Macaca fascicularis: one gene and its partners. The protein of the gene in region 3 purifies or fractionates together with the protein of the main gene of each other region. This does not show direct contact. Links are inferred from orthologs where the notes say so. Each region holds a gene or a part of one and is shown on either strand. Other genes may lie near its edges. The genes, in order: SNX7, SNX30 and SNX4.

The links.
Region 1: the proteins of SNX4 (region 3) and SNX7 purify together in Homo sapiens (affinity purification with mass spectrometry; 3 studies listed by BioGRID and IntAct, counting the BioPlex papers as one, with this or other methods). This does not show direct contact. The link is inferred for Macaca fascicularis from reciprocal best matches to the Homo sapiens genes SNX4 and SNX7.
Region 2: the proteins of SNX4 (region 3) and SNX30 purify together in Homo sapiens (co-immunoprecipitation; 4 studies listed by BioGRID and IntAct, counting the BioPlex papers as one, with this or other methods). This does not show direct contact. The link is inferred for Macaca fascicularis from reciprocal best matches to the Homo sapiens genes SNX4 and SNX30.

Annotation. Positions count from the first base shown.
Region 1 is NC_088375.1:135,687,656-135,692,891, reverse strand, and holds part of SNX7 (sorting nexin-7), read left to right. Parts: intron 1-2,908; coding exon 2,909-3,107; intron 3,108-5,236. UniProt on the Homo sapiens protein: Involved in the regulation of endocytosis and in several stages of intracellular trafficking. Together with SNX4, involved in autophagosome assembly by regulating trafficking and recycling of phospholipid scramblase ATG9A.
Region 2 is NC_088389.1:45,332,746-45,338,487, forward strand, and holds the start of SNX30 (sorting nexin-30), read right to left. Parts: upstream 3,999-5,742; 5' UTR 3,768-3,998; coding exon 3,612-3,767; intron 1-3,611. UniProt on the Homo sapiens protein: Involved in the regulation of endocytosis and in several stages of intracellular trafficking. Together with SNX4, involved in autophagosome assembly.
Region 3 is NC_088376.1:157,794,046-157,799,281, forward strand, and holds part of SNX4 (sorting nexin-4), read left to right. Parts: intron 1-2,503; coding exon 2,504-2,603; intron 2,604-5,236. UniProt on the Homo sapiens protein: Involved in the regulation of endocytosis and in several stages of intracellular trafficking. Plays a role in recycling endocytosed transferrin receptor and prevent its degradation.

The DNA of each region.
Region 1 (5,236 bases), on a different chromosome or scaffold from region 3:
TGCTTCTTGCATAAATAGCAAATACTGAACAGCTATAAATGTATTTCTTTTATTGACACTATAGTTGACCCTTGAACAACATGGCAGTTAGGGAAGCCAACCCCTTATGAAGTTGAAAATCCATGTGTAACTTTTAATTCCCCAGAAACTTTACTAGCAGCCTCCTGTTGATTGGAAGCCTTAACTATACCATAAACAGTTGGTTAACACATATTTATATCTTTTGTGTATTATATACTGTATTTTTTGCAGTAAAGTAACCTAGAGAAAAGAAAAGGTTATTTAAGAAAATCCTAAGGAAGAGAAAATACACTAACAGTATCCTACTGTATCTATTGATACCATAAGTTTATGTTGTCTGTCTACCAGATGAATTGTCAGTCTGAAATGGAGGGCAATGACAGTGGCAGACCTCAATGTATGGTACTTAGCAAGCAATTCAACTTTTTTTGTAATGCCATGACTTTTCTCTGCTTCTTGGGAACATTTCCAGCATCACTAGTGGCACTTCATATGGGTCCCATGGTATTATTTCAGGTTTATAGTATTGCACTAAACACAATAAAAAATACATGGGAACCACAAGAGATCACTTTTTACTGCTATACCCGATTTACTGGAGAGATGAACTACTCGCACGGAGATGATCAGCGTCACATGGCGTTTTAAGCGGATATTCGCAACACTTCAGCTAGCCACAAATAGCAACAGGAGGGCTACAAAAATAGTACAGTAGTACAGTGTGTACTGTAGTTAATTTTAATCGGTTTTGATTTAATACAGCATCTTTATGTTTGTTTATGTTTCTCTCAACTGCAAATGGTGGCATGTGAGCCAAAATATGTGCACACGTTTTGATAAATGTTAACTTTTTATAATTGATTTATATACATTTTAGGGTAGTAAATGATAGACTAGTATCTACATATATTTTGTGCATTCATGACATACCTTTCTCTCCGGTTTTTCTACATTTCTAGACTATGTGGTTTGTGAGTTGTTTTTAATTGTTGCAAATCTCCAAAAAATTTTCCAATATATTTATTGAAAAAAGTCCACATGTGTGGACCTGCTCAGGTCACACCTGTGTTGTTCAAGGGTCTACTTTATTTTGAGTAATAATGGATCAGGGCTTTTTAAGCTAGGATAAAAGTCCTTATTAAATGGGTAGATGGATGAATGGAGATAGATGAATGGATGGATGGATGGATGGATGGATGGATGGATGGATGGACAGATGGATGGACAGATAATATAATCTCCTTACTTTTCCTTTAATTATCTAAGTGGGAGAGTGCCTAATTTCTAATATGGAAACCTTATCCATTCTACTTGTTTTTTCTTTTATTCTATAAAGCTATAACTCTGCAAGAAAGATACCAGATAGGACAAAGAGTCAATATTAAACAGTTACTGACAAATGTTGAGTTTTATATCTCTCAGTTATTGCCAGTGGTGGAAGCTAAAAAGTGGTTCATTTCAATCTTGACAGATAGTCCTGCTCTATGGAAGCCCTTTGTGACTTATGTGAAATGAATATGTGGCCTGACTTCAGAACTTAGAAGCTGTTAGAAATATTCTCTACAGTCAACAGTTTCAGTAACAGCTTGCCAGTTGTGACGTGAGCTGTCTCTGATAATGTTTACTCTATCAAATGAGGCTGTAGTACTCTTGGATGGATGTGTTGCCTGGTCAAGGATGGCATCTGTTGTTATTGGCACAAAAAAAACACACTGAATTGGAAATAAACAAGTTTACTTTGTATGTATTATTTTCTGTAAGATATTCAGGAACGAAAACCTGGAAGAAGATAGACAATGTGTTATTTAATATTTGGGTAAATAATATATGATATTTTTATCTGTAGATTAGGTAGTCAGCAGTATTTTATTTGATCCCAAGCTTGTGTTTCAACAAAGGCCATAACCATTATTAGAATCCCTTGTCCTTTCTTTTGTTTTTATTTGTTCTTTTATCTTATGCCATACTTCTCAAGGGATATGTTTGTGTGTAATATATTCTTTTATAGGATTTCTTCTATCTGTTTTTCAAGTCTATAGTTATTCCTCCTAGGTTAAGTATGAAATAACTAGTTACGTTCCTTATTAAAAATTTTCTCTGCAGACAACCAGCCAGTGAAGGCGGTGTCACAGTTTACCCGCTTCATTTGGTTGAAGTGCTATAGTCAGGTAGTATCTATTGACAAACTACCCTAATGACTTTAAGTGGGCAGAGCAAGTTGGTGCTTAATAATGAAGTCTCTGGAATCAGACTTCCAGGATTCCAGTTCTTGCTCTATCACTTAATTGCTCTAGGATCTTGAGCAAGTTACTTAACTTTCCTGTGCCTCTATTTTCTTCTGTAAAATGAGGAAAATAATAAAACCTACCTCATAGGTTTATGGTAAATTACGTATATTAAAATGTCAGTATAGTGCCCAGAATGTATTAAGCTCTAAATAAATGTTAGCTACTATTACATCTAAAGAATTAATGAAGTTTTCCAATTTTATTTTTCAGAGTATAACTTAGGCCCTGAGAAATCTTATCTCAATCATTTTCCATTAAATTCCTGTTATAAAATATAGATGGTATGTCATATTATCCTTGTCTTCTCTAGTATCTCACTGAGCACTATTCTGTCTGTTAAACCCTGTTCTTTTAAAGATTTATGGTCTGAGGAACGACTGTATACCTGTTTTACATGAGTCCTGTGAAAGGGAATATTATCAAGGAGGCTGCCAGTTGGGACACTGTACCTTAATAAAGCTCATCTGCTTCAAGCTAACACTAAATGCCTATGAAACCATTTTATCTTAATTTTATTCTCCTAATTAGGTTTCTTTTTGTATTGAGTCTCGGAATATTGAGACATGTTTCACTAGAAATATTTTGTTTTTTGTTTCTAGGAACTCTCTTCTCACAAGAAGCAAGGTCCCGGATTGCTAAGCAGGATGGGGCAAACAGTCAGAGCTGTTGCATCCTCAATGAGAGGAGTTAAAAACCGCCCAGAGGAGTTCATGGAAATGAATAACTTTATTGAACTATTTAGCCAGAAAATAAATTTGATAGATAAAATATCTCAGAGAATTTATAAGGAAGAAAGGGGTAAGTAGAATTACTGAAATGTGTTTTCACAGTTGTTCAGTTTCTAATGAATCTTCACATTTGTTCGTGTAGTATAGCAACATGCAGTTAGAATGTCAGCTTCAAAGTGTGGCTTATTCCCAGCCATGTTATGGACATTTGTGATTCCTAAATGATTTCAAAGGTAGTTATGGCCAGTCTCCATTTTCACTTTTATCAATCACTAGCTGCTCTACTTCCCATTCATAGATAATAGTGGTAAAGTAAGCCCTGAGTTTATGACTGTGGATGTAGTTTTATGAAGTTTGTATTCAACATGGCACAGAGCTCAGAATCAAAGAAGTGATGTTTCAGGAAATAGGTTTTCACATTTTCTGGTAATTATTTTTTTCTGGAGGGAACAGGTATTCTGTATTATACTGTCAAAGTATGGCAGAGAGATTTATGTATTGGAAAATCTGCCTCTTTTCCTATTTTCTTTTTTTTTTTTTTTTTAGTTTATAAGTCAGAATTTATGATGAATTTCTTCTAATTCTAATCATGTGATTTTTTCACTAATTTTCTAATTGCATTTACTTACATTAAAAAATAGATAACTGAGTCAGCAAATAATTTCCTAATATAATTTGTTATTAGAGATCAGGAACTACATAAAGACAAACAAAAGTCCCTAAGTTAATGGCTTATTTGTTAATTGACTTCTACTTAACTGTACTGCCCATCAGGATAAGCTGGGAAATATTTTATTTCTAGTATTCAGATGGTGTTTAATCATAATAAGCACTCAATTAAAATTTGTTCAATGATTGAAAAAAAACACGAATGAACATAAGATTTGGAATGGTGTAGGAAAATGTGCTTTATTAAGAATTGATTGGTTTTAAAAAGAGATACAGAAAAAACTTATAACTGAATGTACTTTGCCCCTTTTCTACCTTTTTTATTCATGCGTTGACACCTGATGAGATTACTGTAGTGACTGAATATAGTATAATAATTTGTTTTAAACCTCCTTGGTTTGCCCTTACATTTATTATTTGTCTTTTTTTTTTTTTTAACCTGAAGAGGTGAATTATTTTAACTAGGTTCTGTGATTCCAGTTCTATTAAGTAGATTCTGGCTGCGTAGTTAGGTGGTATGGCAATTCAAAGAGATCTCTGGAAACTATTGGTAGTTAAGAGCTTTATAAGCTAACAGTGAGTATCAAAGAGTAATTAAGATGGTACCTGTTAAGCTCACAGTCTAGTTAGGAAATATGTATATTAACAGACAAATTACAGTGCAGCTAACTAAATGCTTGCATACAGATGTGATTTGAATGGTATGTAAGTGCAGTTTAGAATTTTAGGGCAGCTTTGCATATAAACATAAATATTGTTCAGGTTTAATGACAGATATTGACATACATTGAGAAATTTGAGATTTCTCAATTGACTCAATTGAGAAAAGAAAGTGGAAAATTTTCTTTTCTAGAAATTAGTTCAGTATGGTCATTATTTACCAGAAAGACAGGCCTAGGATCAGGAAGGTGGAGTTTGGAAGGACTATAGAGGTGATTAAATGTTCATTAGGTAACAACTAGTATCTACATTGTTTTTAAATTTCATATTTTTAAACTTTTTATTTAATACAAACTTTTAAAGTTTTAATAGTTTAATTGTTTAGAGAAATATGACAGATATCAGCAAATCCTAATGAGTTGTAAGATGGCTGAATATAGACAATTTAATTGTATTTATATGGATAGTGAACAAAAAATGCTCACTGCTTATACATTTTCTACACAAAAAGCCATACATTACTGAAAATTAAGTGTGAAAGTAAAAATGTTAAGTTGTAAAGATATTCACATTTTAAAATGAAATCCAAATTTTTGAATATATAGCGTATCAAAAACTGAATGGTCTTTGGTTACTCATATATGCATTCTTTCATTGATACGAAAATATTTATTGAACTCATTACACATAAGGGTTTGAGATAGCAAAATAGTAAGACTCAGTCCCTGTTTTAAGGAGTATGTGGCCAAGAGCATTTGAGTTATAAGACATCGATAATACAGTGGGATAATGCTTTAATAGAAGTATAAAATTATGATAGGTATGATGGGCTCATTGAGGGCCAAAGCATCTATGAATCCTTTGGAACAG
Region 2 (5,742 bases), on a different chromosome or scaffold from region 3:
TGCAGATGAAAGTTAAAAAAGCAGAGTAAGGCTAAGCGATGTATTTACATTTTAGATGGAGACAGCCATATAAGGTCCAGTGAGGCTCACGCCTGTAATCCCAGTACTTTGGGAGGCTGAGGTGGACAGATCACCTGAGGTCAGAAGTTTGAGACCAGCCAGGCTAACATGGTGACACCCCATCTCTACTAAAAATACAAAAATTAGCCAGGTGTGGTGGCGGTCACCTGTAATCCCAGCTACTCAGGAGGCTGAGGCAGGAGAATCACACGAACCCAGGAGGCAGAAGATGTAGTGAGATTCCACCACTACACTCTAGCCTGGGCAACAGCAAGACTCTGTCTCAAAAAAAAGAAAAAAAAAAAAAAAAGGTGAGTTTAGCAGGCATCAAAAGAATTAGTCCTGGCAACCTCTGGTAGATAGAAAGGATTCCTCCTTTGGGAGCCTATGAAGGGAGGCATCACACCATGATTTGAAAAATTTGAGAAACTGGTGGACAGTCCATCATATTTGGTCTTTCTCTTCTACCCAAGCACTACAGAGTTCATTCACAAGTGTCAGCTGGACCAAGACACAAGGCTACCCTGTTCATAGCACCATCTTGGCCCCTCAGAAAGCAATTCCCCTCTGCATAATAACCCTGTACTATGATCAGCCTGTCAAATCTTCATTCCTCTAGCCCAGAACTGACCCAGAATCCCTGTCATCCAGGATCACAACCCTAGTATCTAATAAGACAAAACTGGCTTCTTTTCAAAGACAGACCATAGCACTGAAGTGTCCTACCACCCCTTTGATGACCCTCATGCTGCTGAGGCAGGAGAAAGCCAGCCACAGGGAAGGCTTCCTTCTTCTGGCTCTGACTCACCTCTGTGGCTTGCTAGCTTCTCTCTACAGAAATTTCTTCAGAGTTATGAGACCATACGGGGATGCCAAGATTCAAGGAAAATGTTACTCCTAGTCAGAGAAAGAAATTACAATGCTTAGCCTCTAAGGAAAAGTGGCTTACTATAAATCGGGCCCTTGAGAATGGTGTCATTTAGATGCTCCCCACAGCTGTTAGGAGATTTAATAAATATTCAATAATTAGGCCAGGCACCGTGGCTCACGCCTGTAATCCCAGCACTTTGGGAGGCCAAGGCGGGCAGATCACTTGAGGCCAGGAGTTCGAGACTAGTCTGGCCAACATAGCGAAACCTCGTCTCTACTAAAAATACAAAAATTACCCAGTCAAGGTGGCACACGCCTGTAATCCCAGCTACACGAGAGCTGAGGCACGAGAATCACTTCGACCAGGGAGGTGGAGATTGCAGTGAGTCAGGATCAGGCCACTGCACTCCAGCCTGGGTGACAGAGTGAGTCTCTGTCTCAAAAAATACATATATATTCAATAATTAAGAATGCCTCCAAGACTCAACCTCCCACACAGAACAGACCCTTTAAAGGAAGCCATCAGTAATTAGACCTGAGACTGACTTCTTGACCACTAACTAGATCTTGGTGGTACGGAGAATTTGTCTTCCAAGTACTTACTAGTAAAACACCCATACTTCTGAGTCAGGTATCATCCATGAGTGATTCGTTAAGCAAATATTTAAAATAGCTATCTGTAGTAGTCAGTCTCCAAGATGGCCCAATGATCCCCACCTCTTGGTATGCACACCCTGGTATTCACACCGTCTCCCCACATTGTACCAGTGTCAATCTGTGTGACCGACAGAATACATCAGAGGCATGTCATTTCCAAGGTAAGTTATACAAGACTGGCTAGAGTCTTGGGCTCTCTTGGATCACTTGCTCTAGGGGAGAAAACCAGTTGCCACATCCAACAGCCCTATGGAGAGTAACTAAGGCCTGCCAACAGCCATGTGAGTGAGCTTAGAAGTGGATCCTCCCCTAATCCAGCCTTCAGATGACTGCAACCTCAAGAAAGGCCTAATTCAGAACCACTCAGATTGTCCCACAGACACTATTTCCAGGTGGTAAGTTTTGGGGGTAATTTGCTACACAGCAATAGATAATTAATTCAGTATCCTACACAGAACTGAGAAGGAAATGAGGTTTAACCCCAGTTCCTACACTATTTTAAGACCAATTTTTGTCCATAAGAAAGCAAATTTATTCAGTCATTCAACATTTTTTGGAGACAGGGTCTCACTCTCTTGCCCAGGCTGGAGTACAGCGGTGCAATCATAGCTCACTGCAGCCCTGAACTCCCGGGCTCAAGCAATCCTCCAGCCTCAGCCTCCCTGAGTAGCCTGGACTACAGGTGCATGCCACCATAGTGTGTGTGTGTGTGTGTGTGTGTGTGTGTGTGTGTGTGTGTGTAGATGGGGTCTCAATATGTTGCCCAGGCAGGTCTCAAACTTTTGGCCCAGAGCAATCATCCTGCCTCAGCCTCCCAAAGTGCTGGTATTACAGTTGTGAGCCACTGCACCCGGCCTCCATTAGCTTTTTTAAATGTTCCTGTCCCTAATGCTTTGGAACTTCACTCCCAGCTTTCACAAACCCTGTGCAGAAGGTACATCAAGTCAAGTCCCACTCTCTAGTGATTTTAAGTGCTGCAAGGCGGGCAGGTTATATTTTCTCATACTCATTTTTTTACTGTACCACATGGTGTCCCCTCTGACGGGAGAAGAAAGTTAGGTCCCCTGCTCCCATTAATATTGGGACAAGGGGGAATCCATTTAGTATTTTACTAGGGAGAGAAAATCTTGATCACAAGACCTGAGAACAATGCTAATTTCTGCAGTTAGCGACTAAGCGACAGCAGGAGCGAGGATACAATCACTGCTCAAGTCCCCTTCACAGCTGAAATGGCCATGGAGATAGGGAGGAGGCCGTCCCTTACCCCTGCCTGGACTCTGCTGTGTCTCCAAGCAGCAGGAGGGTTGTGCTGCTCCAAGAAAATCTGGAGCCTCCCTCTGTACAAAGAAGGTCAAAGGGCGAGCTTTCTTTCCATCAACCACAAAACCAGCCGCTGCCAAACCTAAACAGAGTGGTAGGCCGTCGGAGGTGAATGGAGCCCCAGACAGAAAACCACAACGAGGCTCTCCTCCCGCCGCCGGCTGGGGTCTGAGTCAGGTGACTCCTCAGGACAAACAGCAAACCTAAACAAAGATCACTCCCCACATGACTGACTCGGGGGAAGAAGACTCTCGCTGTAAGCCCAGGGCTGCCCGGTCCCAGCACGGAAAGCCATGAACTCCTGCTTCTGTGCAGTCTCAGGAAACTGGAGGAGCTACAAGTTATGCAGCAGCTCAGCCTGCAGGGATGCACCTGGAGGAACTCGGAACCCCATCCGAGGACACAGGCGCCCTGCCCTGCACACGCGCCTCCCGCCCCAACACGCAGGCTGGACCCCTCCCCACCAGCTGTCACCGGCGCTCGCGACCAGTCACAGGCAGCGAAACCCGTCCCTCTGCGGCTGCGACCCCGCGGAGGCGGCAGAGGAGACGCTTTCGCCGAGAGCTCCGGGGCCAGGGCACGCCAGTCCCCCGGGAAGGGGCGGCAGGGTGGGCGCGGCCCCAGGCCCAGGAAGGCTCCGGATCCATCATCCCCCCAACGGGGAGCGAAATAAGCCTCCCAGACCCCAGCCCCAGGCGCCCCACCTTGTCACCGAAGCTGCGGGCCATCAGCAGGTCCGGGCTGGGCGTGCTGTCACCACCCACGGCCTCCTCGCTGCTGGAGCCGGCCAGCGGGTGCGGCATGTCGCGCAGGGAGTGGGGCCCCGTGGACGGCAGGGCCTTGGGGGGCCCGCCCGCCATGGCGCGCACCGCTCGGGACGCGCCGCCGCCGCTTCCTCCTGCTGCCCGCCGCTGCGAGCTCCCCGAGCGCCCCGGGCCGAGCCCCGCTCGGCCGCCGCTCAGCCCGAGGCCTTCCACCGGCCGGGCCGGGAGCCGCTGCCACCCGCCGGCTAGTGTCTGCCGGCGCTGAGACGCTCAGCTCCGCGCCGCGCGTCCCCGCTCCGCGCCCTAGCCCGCCGCGGGTCCGCTGGCAGCACGGCCGCGGCGCCCAGCCCGCACAGCCACGCCGCCCACCCGCTCCGGCCCCGCCCCCGAGGCGCCGCGGCTGCCCGGGAGGGGGCGGGGAGGGCGGGGGGAGCGGGGAGGGGGCACGTGGGGAAGGAGGGAGGGAAGGAGGGAGGGAGAGAGGGAGGGAGGAGGTGCAGCCCCGCCCCCGCCCGGCAGGAAGTGCGCTGTGGGCCTCTGCGTCTGTCCTCCCAGTGTCCAACGTTGCCTCGCGGAGGCCGCCGTGCGGAGCAAATGTTTAACGGAAATCAGAGGTGGAAAAGAGGTTGGAGGAGCCTGCTCCGTTCCACTCGCTTTTACTGATGCGCCCACCAGCAGCCACGCTTGGGGCTGGCGGCTTTGAGGACACGCACGTGAGTCAGGGTCTTATGGCCTCTAAGGCACGCGCAGGAAGAACCCAAAATAGACGGAATTACGACCCATATCGGAAGAATAGCATAAAGGGCGACGAGGCTCAAAGGAGCTAGAGGACATCGGGTGGGGAACCTGGAAGGGGCTTCAAGGAGGGGGTGTGGGGAGTCTTCAGCCTCACTCTGAGGTCCCCATTGTGTCTTGCTTCTGCAGCTGACCAAGGTTTGTGTAAAGTCAAACCTCAGAAGAGTGAGCATGAGGATAGAGCTGCAAATGATATACGACTCTTCAACTCACACTTTCGCCGAAGAGACTTTTGAAAGAACCATGAGGTTCAAGTTATTTTTCATGCATTTGTGTTTCCTTTCCAGGCCTTGGGCTGAGCTGATTCTCAGCTTTATTTGCTGGCATGGTGCAAATAGTCAAGGTGTTACTTCCAGCCCATTGGGGTGTAGATTAACCTCCTTTTTCCACCTTACCTGTCCCTAGATCTTCTGTTTCCAAGGCCAAGTCTTTAAAGGGTTTTCAGTCCCTCTAGCAAAGTAATGGGTAGGGAGGCTTATCGTGAGGGACCACATTTTCCCTACCCATTCCAAACTCAAAGGTTTGCCTAGCTTTACCTGCTAAAAGGTGATGACAGATTTTGACTCTGGGATTCACTAAGGCCTCTACCACAGTTTTCTCTAGAAACAAGTAGAAGAGAATGCAGAGGGTTGAAACCTACCCAAAATATCAGTCAGAGACTCTGAGCTTCAAAGACCTTCCCTTGTTTCCCCCAATGTAATTTATATAGGGCTGGACCCTTAGTCCTCAAGCTGTCATCTTTATCTCCTCCACATAAGCCTGCCTTGGCTGGGAAAAAAATAGCATTCAAAGGGCACTGGGAACAATTTTAAATGGTGCATCTAAGGAATGCCAAGTTCTGGTCCTCTTGGAGTTGGATTAAAATTGTTAACACTTTCACATTCAAGGACTGCTTACAACTACTACAGACCCTATTATCTGTTCTTCTGAATTAGCATTAAAACAAATAGCACAATATAACTAGAAATGAGTATTCTATAGATGTATAACATAGGTTTTTCTTATTGAATGGTGCTACTTATTTTAACAACCAGGCTGCCTTAAATATGATGGAGATCTGTGTGGATTAAGACTCTATACAAGCTTTCTCTTTAGGGCACCAGGGGAAAGTGAAAAAAGAACCACATTTGAATTCTGCTTTGTCACTACAAGTGGGTGACCATAAGCAAGTTACTAACCTCAGTGAACCTGTTCCTAACCTGAAAAGGAGGAGAATGGAGAGCAGGTAATAATACCTTATGAGATGGTTGTGAGAGTTAAATAGCATTCTTTATGT
Region 3 (5,236 bases):
ACTAGGAAAAAGTTAATGTATTTTTTTCTGATCAATTTAGAAAAAGGAATTATTTTCCCAGAATAGGTGGCTTTTGGACAGTTACCCTGTCACTTTTTTTTTTTTTTTTTTTTTTTTGAGACAGAGTAGAGTTTGGCTGTGTCGCCCAGGCTGGAGGGCAGTGGCGTGATCTCGGCTCACTGCAGCCTCTGCCTCCCAGGTTCAAGCGATTCTCCTACCTCAGCCTCCCAAGTATCTGGGATTACAGGCGCCCGCCAACACACTCGGCTAATTTTTGTATTTTTAGTAGAGACAGGGTTTCACCATGTTGGCCAGGCTGGTCTGAAACTCCTGACCTCAGGTATTCTGCCCGCCTCAGCCTCTCAAAGTGCTGGGATTACAGGCATGAGCCACCGCTGTCCTGTCACTTTTAAAAGCAGTATAAGAATTCTGTTAGAAAAACAAAAGATCACTATTCCCTTACCTGTATGGTGACTGGTGTGAAATCATCTGCACATTGTTAGCTTGTTTTCCTTCTAGGGCTTTGAGTAGTAGGAAGTCTCACCAATGTATTTTCAAGTCACCAAGCAAAAGAAAGTTGGCCGGGTGAGGTGGCTCCTGCCTGAATCCCAGCACTTTGGGAGGCCGAGGCAGATAGATTACCTGAGGCCAGGAGTTCGAGACCAGCCTAGCCAACATGGTGAAACACCATCTCTACTAAAATTATAAAAAAGTTAGCCAGGCATAGTGGTGGGTGCCTGTAATCCCAGCTACTGGAGAGGCTAAGGCTTGAACGGGGGAGGTGGAGGTTGCAGTGAGCCGAGATCACATCATTACACTCTAGCCTGGACAACAGAGCGAGACTGCATCTCAAAAAAAAAAAAAGAGAAAATTTCTGAGTACAGTGGAATTCTCTGCAGCTCTTAAAAATTATAAAAAGGATTAAGGTATATTGACATGGAAAGATGGCCAGGATATATAGCCATGTGAGAAAAGAGGTAGGAACCATTTGGGGTGTGTGGATATGGTATTTGTCAATGCCTAGCTAAATTCTGGAAGGTTATGTACTATCTGGTAACACAGATTATATCTGGATAGTGGGATTGGAGGAAAGAGTGTTCTTGAACTTTCTTTTTGTATTTTGTATTTTTTATTTTTTTGAGACGGCGTCTCACTCTGTTGCCCAGACTGGAGTGCAGTGGCACAATCTCTGCTAACTGCAACCTCTGCCTCCTGGGTACAAGTGATTCTCCTGCTTCAGCCTCCCAAGTAGCTGGAATTACAGGCATGCGCCACCACCCCCGGCTAATTTTTGTATTTTTAGTAGAGATGGGGTTTTATCACATTGGTCAGGCTGGTCTCGAACTCCTGACCTCAGGTGATCTGCCCACCTCAGCCTCCCAAAGTGCTGGGATTACTGGCGTGAGCCACCACGCCCAGCCTCTTTTTTTTATTTTGTGCATTGCTGTATTAGAATCTTTTTACAGTGAACATGGGTTACTTTTATGATCATAAAAACTATAAACATTTCTAGGCCGGGCGACATGGCTCACGCATATAATCCTAGCACTTTGGGAAACTGAGGTGGATGGATTGCTTGAGCCCATGAGTTTGAGACCAGCCTGGGCAACATGGGCGAGACCCCATCTCTACAAAGCACAAATTAGCTGGGCGTGGTGGCACATGCCTTAGTCCTAGCTACTTAGGAGGCTGAGGTGGGAGGATTGCCTAAACCCAGGAGGCAGAGGTTGCTGTGAGCCAAGATTGCACCACTGCACTCCAGCCTGGGTGACAGAGTGAGACCTTGTCTCCAAAAAAAAAAAAAAGCTAATAGACATTTTCTAAATCACAAAGAAGAAAACTTTGAGGTATTATTTTTTCTAAGAATACTCAGTGCTATGTGAGATTACAGCATTAGTTCTTACATTATATTAAAAAATGTTTTATGTATGTGATAATGGCATGTTTATTGAAAGAAATGTTCCAAGTATCTATAAAACAACTTTTTTTGTGTTAAGAATATATGACGTTTTTGGCGGGGTGCAGTGGCTCATGCCTGTAATCCCAGCACTTCAGGAGGCCGAAGTGGGCAGGTCACATGAGGTCAGGAGTTTAAGATCAGCCTGACCAACATGGAGAAACCCCGTCTCTACTAAAAATACAAAATTAGCTGGGCATGGTGGTGCATGCCTGTAATCCCAGCTACTCAAGAAGCTGAGGCAGGAAAATCATTTGAACCCGGGAGGTGGAGGTTGCAGTGAGCCAAGATCACGCCATTGCACTCCAGCCTGGGCAACAAGAGCAAAACTCTGTCTCCAAAAAAAAAAGAATATACGAAGTTTTTATGGTTAGATTTTGCTAGATTCCACTTCTAATGTTGGGCTACTGCATTCTAAACTTGAAAATTCTGGGCACACACGTTCTGCCCTAGTGAGACGTTGTGAATGGTTCTCCTCTACCCTTGAAAAATATGTTTGACATGTTAAAGAAAAAGTTAAATGGCAGCACATTTTTTCATCTGTAGGGCTGTGTGCAGGAAACATGAACTTATGCAGTATGACTTGGAGATGGCTGCTCAGGACTTAGCGTCCAAGAAGCAGCAGTGTGAGGAACTGGCAACTGGGGTGAGTATTTTTCTTTTGGCCTCTGATGATATTGTAGCAACATGGAATGTTCCTCACAAGCACTCACTCTAAGTGAGTAACTCACTCCTGTGGAATCAGCTTCAGTTGCAATACTCAGGACGGCTGCACCTTTTACAGGGGAATAATTTGTGAGTAACTTTATAATTATTTTGTTATTATCTTGATACAAAAAGATGTAAGCCATTTAAAACCATGTACTGTATAGAATTATAAGAAATTTTGCCAACATTTCTCTGCTGTAATCAGTATCATCTGGTTTCTTTAAAAAAAAAAAAGTTAGCTGGGCATGGTGGCTCACGCCTGTAATCCCAGCACTTTGGGAGGGCGAGGCGGGTGGATCATGAGGTTAGGAGATCAAGACCATCCTGGCTGGCCGGGCGCGGTGGCTCAAGCCTGTAATCCCAGCACTTTGGGAGGCCGAGACGGGCGGATCACGAGGTCAGGAGATCGAGACCATCCTGGCTAACACGGTGAAACCCCATCTCTACTAAAAAATACAAAAAAAAAAACTAGCCGGGCGAAGTGGCGGGCGCCTGTAGTCCCAGCTACTTGGGAGGCTGAGGCAGGAGAATGGCGTGAACCCGGGAGGCGGAGCTTGCAGTGAGCTGAGATCCGGCCACTGCACTCCAGCCTGGGCGACAGAGCATGACTCCGTCTCAAAAAAAAAAAAAAAAAAAAAAAAGACCATCCTGGCTAACATGGTGAAACCCCATCTCTACTAAAAATACAAAAAATTAGCCGGGAGTGGTGGCGGGCACCTGTAGTCCCAGCTACTCGGGAGGCTGAGGCAGGAGAATGGCGTGCACCTGGGAGGCGGAGCTTTCAGTGAGCTGAGATCGTGCCACTGTACTCCAGCCTGGGCAACAGAGCAAAACTCTGTCTCAAAAAATAAATACATAAATAAAATTAAAAAAAAAAAGTTTATTGGGCTGAGCACTGTGGCTCACACCTGTAATCCCAGCACTTTGGGAAGCCAAGGCTGATGGATCACCTGGGGTCAGGAGTTCGAGACTAGCCTGGCCAACATGGCGAAACCTGATCTCTACTAAAAATACAAAAATTAGCCAGGTGTGGTTGCTTACACCTGTAGTCCCAGCTACTCGGAAAGCTGAGGCAGAAGAATTGCTTGAACCGGAGAGGCGAAGGTTGCAGCTAGCCGAGGTCAGACTATTGCACTCTAGCCTGGGTGACAGAGTGAGACTCCATCTCAAAAAAAAATTGTTTTTATTTATTTTTATTTTTTGAGACAAGGTCTGGCTCTGTCGCCCAGGCTGGAGTGCAGTGGTGTGATCAGGGCTCATGGAAGCCTCAAACTCCTGGGGTCAAGCGATCCTCCTGCCTCAGCCTCTTGAGTAGCTGGGACCACAGGCATGTGCCGCCGCCCCCCGGCCTGGCTGATTTTGTTTATAGTCTCATCGTGTTGACCAGGGTGGTCTCAAACTCCTGGACTCAAGTGATCCTCCCACCTCAGCCTCCCAAAGTGCTAGGATTACAAAGGTAAGCCACCATGCCTAGTCAGTCATCTGGTTTCTAAGTCCAAGTGAAAAAACATGCAATGACCTTTATCAGGTTTAACTTTGCAAGGTACTTTGTAGAAATTTGAGTTGACTTTGAAAAGCCTTACCCACTTAGAACCAGTGCATCTTGCCTAACAGGGAGCTTTTGATGTATTTTATTCTTTAATGCTTACAGTGAGTACTTGTGAGGAAAATTCTATATCTGGTTGCATTAGTCTTGGATCATTTTTATAATAAGCTTTCTACTCTCCGGTTATTTCCTTGCAATAAATTAGCCATCATGGTGAGCAACACATTCTGAAAGTAGTAAACCGGCAGCAGTGTCTCTCCTTAGTTAATAAGCACTGTAGTTTTGTTTTTTTTTTTTTCCTTAGATGAAGTCTCATTCTGTCACCCAGGCTAGAGTGCAGCTCACTGCAAGCTCCACCTCCTGGGTTCACACCATTCTCCTGCCTCAGCCTCCCGAGTACCTGGGACTACAGGTGCCCGCCGCCACACCTGACTAATTTTTTTGTGTGTTTTTAGTAGAGACGGGGTTTCACCGTGTTAGCCAGGATAGTCTCAGTCTCCTGACCTCGTGATCCATCCGCCTCGGCCTCCCAAATTGCTGCAGGCGTGAGCCACCGCACCTGGCCAAGCACTGTAGTTTTAAAAGTGCTTTTCACATATATTACCTACTGGTTACATCTATGAAAAGTCATAATATATGTGGGGAAAGACTTGTGACCGGGACACATGTATAAACTAGGCCCTTGGTTTATTTTTAAAATTCAGTGGGAGAAGTTCCCAGGCCATTTTCAGGGAGCTTGGTTCCCTATTCCTGCATGTCAAGGGAAAAGTGTTTTCTTCAGTAAACTCCAGAAAGTGAGGAAATGTTAAAGCAGTGAAGCTTGAGGCTGCCTTCCAATGCTTGGATTTAGGTATCCTGTTTTATTAATAGATGCCCAAGTTTGAGCGTGAGTTGTGCAGATTTTAAATATGCTTCTTTAGTTTGGTTTATTTCCATAGTTGCCTAGTGAATTTATCTACTTTTTTATAACAAAGTAATTTTTAAAAATACGAACATTCATACAGAGTAAGAAATAACTTGTCTAA